Linked DNA regions of Kluyveromyces lactis. The protein of the gene in region 1 purifies or fractionates together with the protein of each later gene. This does not show direct contact. Links are inferred from orthologs where the notes say so. Each region holds a gene or a part of one and is shown on either strand. Other genes may lie near its edges.

Evidence for each region. Proteins that work in one complex are often made in the same cells at the same time.
Region 2: the proteins of LIP2 (region 1) and GCV3 purify together in Saccharomyces cerevisiae (affinity purification with mass spectrometry; 3 studies listed by BioGRID). This does not show direct contact. The link is inferred for Kluyveromyces lactis from reciprocal best matches to the Saccharomyces cerevisiae genes LIP2 and GCV3.

The regions. Positions count from the first base shown.
Region 1 is NC_006040.1:1,582,114-1,585,072, reverse strand, and holds LIP2 (lipoyl(octanoyl) transferase LIP2), read right to left. Parts: upstream 1,500-2,959; coding exon 501-1,499; downstream 1-500. Other genes in the region: KLLA0_D18799g (uncharacterized protein), read left to right, coding at 1-429; RKM2 (protein-lysine N-methyltransferase), read left to right, coding at 1,745-2,959. UniProt on the Saccharomyces cerevisiae protein: Catalyzes the transfer of endogenously produced octanoic acid from octanoyl-acyl-carrier-protein onto the lipoyl domains of lipoate-dependent enzymes. Lipoyl-ACP can also act as a substrate although octanoyl-ACP is likely to be the physiological substrate.
Region 2 is NC_006037.1:323,991-326,231, forward strand, and holds GCV3 (glycine decarboxylase subunit H), read right to left. Parts: upstream 1,029-2,241; coding exon 501-1,028; downstream 1-500. Other genes in the region: BOL1 (Bol1p), read left to right, coding at 9-371. UniProt on the Saccharomyces cerevisiae protein: The glycine cleavage system (glycine decarboxylase complex) catalyzes the degradation of glycine. The H protein shuttles the methylamine group of glycine from the P protein to the T protein.

The sequences.
Region 1 (2,959 bases):
CTATCAAAGATGAAAATGGAGCAAGCGGACTCACAACTAGTCAAACTTCAGAAAAGCGTTAAACAGAAGCTTGCGAATCAACAGGCAGAACTAACCACCATCCATAATGAAGAAATACAGGCATTAAAACAAGAAAATAAGAAGCTTAATGACTCCCTAAAGGAAAATAATGACTTGAAAAATACTAAGATCAAACAGCTAAAAAGTGAAGTTGATGAATTACAGACACGTCTTGAGGTCGAAATATTTAAAAATACCCAATTACAACAAGCAAAGTCAAAACCGGTAAAGACGAAAGACGATGGTACTGCACAATTACCAGCTGTATCAACAGGTAGTAAATTACCCAGTACTACAACCAACTTGCTTTTATTAAGTTCTATCTCGGCAGGGGCTTTGGCTGCTGTGTTTAAATATGCAACAAAGTAAAACTAATCATAAATATCATTCTTAAAGTAAAAATTAATCTAAGCATTTCTTGCAGACTACGGGTGATGCGTCTAATCAGTGTAAATGGGTAAATCATCAAGTTGAATTCTCTCTACTGTGGTAATGCCCAAAAGTTTAGCTAATTGATTCACGAATGCAACTGCTACATCATTAACAGAGGTAGAACTATCAGGGACTTGTTCTCTTATGGAAGTGGCTTTTTTTTCTGACAGCCCGCACATGGTAAAACTGTTCATATAAGACAAGTCTGGGTCAACGTTAATACAAATACCATGTGAGGTGACAGATCTTCTGACATGTATGCCAATACTGGCAATTTTTTCTTGATTAGAGACCCAAACGCCGGTATCATTGGTTTTTTGGGTAATTAAATTCAATGGTTCATCTGATCCTTGGAATTTTGGAACTACTTTTAATGCGTTCATGGCCGCGTTATCAATAGTTGAAACTAAGCATTTGGCCGGCAAGTTCTGAAATGTCTTTAAATCGAGAATGATGTATGCGACTATTTGCCCTGGACCATGAAACGTCACTTGGCCACCTCTTTCAGCCTGCACAAATTTGGGTTTTTTATTATATTTCTGTTTTGATGGAATAAAGCCTTCATATCTGGCGATCTGTTCATCCGTAATTTGTTTCTTAACACGTTTTCCGCCAGTATAAGTGGGTTCAAATTGAAATGTAAGCACAATTGGATTTGGCTTCATCTGATTGATATTATCTAGTATCATTTGTTCGTGAAAATTCAATTGTATCTCGGCATTATGTTCTTTTTGTAAGTTTGTCATTTCTCTCTTTATCTTGGATTGTAGTTGCTTAATGTCAAGATGAGCGCGTACAAATTTCTCCTGAATATCGATCCCCGTTTCAAATGGGATCTCTTTAACGAATTGCAAGTGTCTGATTGTTTTAGCTGAAGGATCAATTGGTTGCGTACGGGCGGTTGATGTGCATTTCAGAGTGGATTGAAACCGGACTTTACGGAAAATTGTACATCCAAATTTTGAAGGGTACCAGTAATTAGTACCTATCAGCATCAATTTAGACATACTTAGAGTACTCTCTGGAATCTGGCTAACGCAGAATAATTGCAGGTGGTTAAGGCACCTATGTCATTATCTGAATTGGGGCCTTTGTTTATGCGGAAATTCAGAAATGTACTGTTCTGTTTTTTTTCTCTTAACAAAGACATCGCTGAAATTTAAGAATATGAAGCACAATGAAGCGATGAGCATACAGGAAACATGTTTCATGACGTAGCTTCAGTAGATAGATCATATCACGGGGTTCAACAATGAGAAATGATGAAACCAAGTTTTCAGATGGTAAGATTTCTAGATTACTAGAGTGGCTAAATGGGTCTGGAAAATGCTACGTTAATCCAAAGATCGAGGTATTTGAAGATCCGTTAGTTGGCCGAGGGATCAGGCTTGGCAACGGTATGTTGACCAAAAATGAAGTATTAATTTCCATTCCTAGTTCTCATCAGTTAAATTTTCACACGGTGTTGCATTGGATAGCAAAATTTAATAAGAATATCTTTACCAATGATAATATATCAATTGGTGAAGCTGCAACGGAATTGTTTGATGACCAGGGCCAAGAAGATCCCAGAATAAAAGCTTATGGAATTTTCAATCAAGAGGAACTTACTGATTTCAATTCTTTTCAGCTACTATGTCTTTTTATTCTTGCAGAATGGATTCTGCTTCCGAATTGGTCTAACGGTACAATAACGTCATGGTGGAAACCGTTTTTCGACATATTTCCTACCGACGACGAATTGAGATCGATTCCTACAAAATGGAGTCTAGTCCGTTCGGATAAAAATGCATCAATTTTACTTGAAAGTCTTCCAACGGCGTCAAGTGAGCACGAAAAGAGGATTAGTCAACTTTTGCTAGCTGATTGGAATGCTGTACGAGGATTTCTTAAAAAATGGACCGAAGAATTTACTCATTCAACTATTGGCATGGATGAGTTGTTCTCGCATTTTGTACACATTTATTTTGTGATTAACTCGAGATGCCTATATATGGAAATTCCATTAAAAACTGATGTCAAAGATTATTTCACTATGGTTCCCTTTGTCGATTATTTGAACCATACTAATAAGGCGAGTCTGCATTGTTATCCGGAAATCAATAAATTGAAAAGGAATGTCTACGGGTTGGGAGAATTCTCGATTAGGGTTGGAAATCACCAGTATGAGAAGGCCGGCGAAGAGTTATTTCTCAACTATGGTGCTCATTCGAATGATTTCTTATTGGCTGAATATGGCTTCACGACTTTATGCAATGAGTGGAATTTCATTGATTTGACTCCAGAATTTTGTAATATGTTTACTGACCCGAAGGATATTACATTTTTGGATAATCTCGGATACTGGAAGGACTTCACTATATCTAAAGGGGAGATAAGTTACAGAATTCTGGTCGCTGTCTCTTTGCTAGTTCACCGTGATCACCGAAAAACAGAGAGATTCGCTCTGGGCTATATTACGGAAGAA
Region 2 (2,241 bases), on another chromosome or scaffold:
ATAATTGAATGAGTTTTAGATCAATATTTCGCCAGATGTCGTCGGTAGCAGCGAACAGAAGCATAGATGGTCCCATTGCTCAGAGGATCACCAAAAAAGTGAAAGATACTTTCCCAGATCTTTCACATTTTGCTATTTTCAATGACTCATACAAGCATAGCGGTCATCATGGGATTCAAGATGCTGCGAACAAGATTGAATCACACTTCAGACTAGAGATAGTGAGCGGATTGTTCAAAGGGAAAAGCCTTCCCATGAGACACCGAATGGTATATGGGATGCTAAATGAGGAATTTGATGATGGGGTACATGCTTTACAGCTAACGACAAAAACTCCGGAGGAGTATGCCAAGAAGCATGCTGAAAATTGACGTACGTTAAAATCAACCTGAACCGATAAAATAGTTTAAAAACTTGATACTTAAGTGTATACATATATCGTGATACCAACGCACACATATAAACACGCCGCATTAAACATGTAGCTGGATATTATTGAATCAATGGTCTTCCTTTAGATGAGCTTCGTACTGCTCTAGCGATAACAATTCATCGGATTGTAAATCTGCCTCATCGTTAATTTTAATCTTGATGATCCAACCTTCACCAGCTGGGTCGCTGTTGATCAATTGTGGCGAGTCAGACAAAGCTTCGTTCACTTCCACGACAGTACCAGCGACAGGAGAGTAAATTTCAGATGCAGACTTGACGGATTCAACAGAACCAAACGAATCGCCAGCCTCTAATTCGGTATCAACATCTGGCAATTCGACGTAAGTGGCATCACCAAGTGCATCGGCTGCGTACTTGGTAATACCAATGAAGGCAGATCCATCTGGATGAGCAGCAACCCATTCATGCTGTGTAGTGTATTTAACGGTTTTTGGACCGGTTTGAGAGAAAGTGAAAGGCAATTGAGATTGGTTTAAAGCATTTGTCGATTGAGCTCTCAAGAACAAACGAGAAACTGTGCTCTTCGCAATACGAGAAGAGACAAAAGCAGTACGAGAAATAGATGAAGAGAACATAGCTTCTTACCAGGGGCGTCACTGTTCTAAAATCAGATGAATGTTACTCATTCAATGGTAAACTTAACTTTAAAACACCAATGTTGCAATGTGTATCTATTGAAAACTTCTAACATAATCATCATATATACTTAAATAACATCAAGGGTTCTTTCCGAGGTTCTGATTGACCATGAGAAAAGAAGAAGACAGTCACATGACCGAGAAAGTCGTATTTTTTTGACCGGACGTAAAATTGACTTGGAGTGTGGGCATTGCCAAGTCAGAATCTCGCTGTTTGACTTGGCCAGAAAGCGGGTGGACGAAACCCTCCTTCGAGCCGTGAAAAAGTAACAGAGACGGTATACCGGCCGCATGATGATTCTCTGGGGCAGATACGGGAAGAAAAATATCACGTTCCCACGTGATTTGTATATATCTTTAGATATGTGGATACCGGTATGCAATGCTGATGTTGCTACATTTGTGGTTCGTTTTGCATCGTTCCGGTTTATCTATTATCTAATTTTTTGGCTTACCGAGTGATATCCATCGTGCAGTTAAAGATTAGATATTGCGAGCGTGATTTATCAAGAGAGAAAACAGTAGCTGTTGTGAAGATCACATTTCGATACGCGAATGCAAAACACAAAATCTAATCGAAATCAAGTTAGCTCGAGCCTTTCCGACGTGAGACCTTAAAAAAAGAGAACACTAGGATTATCACTTCTTTTGTACTGTTGTAGTTCTGTAAAGCCTTTTTTCTTTTTGTTTTTCTTTGACAAATATCCCATAGACACCGAAAACGTCAAACTGAAATGACATGTCAGCCAAATCCAAAGTAAAAAAAAAAAATCCAACAACGAACAGTTACACTTTGAACAACTGGTTTTAACACGAGTGCAGATTGACTGAATTAAAGTACAATTAATAGAAATATGTTATCTAAACCATGATTGATCCGTAAGCTTTTAGGCTTTCTTGTATTTTTTTTTTTTTGTGTAAAATGATTCTGAATAAAATAATTCACTATTAGAGTTATTTATGTCTTGAATTGCGTTAGATTTTGTGGACAGGTAGAAAGTGCAATTTCTGATCTGGAGCCATTCTGAAACTAACGTGTACAAAGTAGCCTCGAAAAGGATTCCTTTCAAGTGGAGTTTCAGGTGGAACTATAATTCTTTGCTTTTTCTCTTTTCTTATTATTAGCGTTTCCACAATTGAAAAGAAAAAA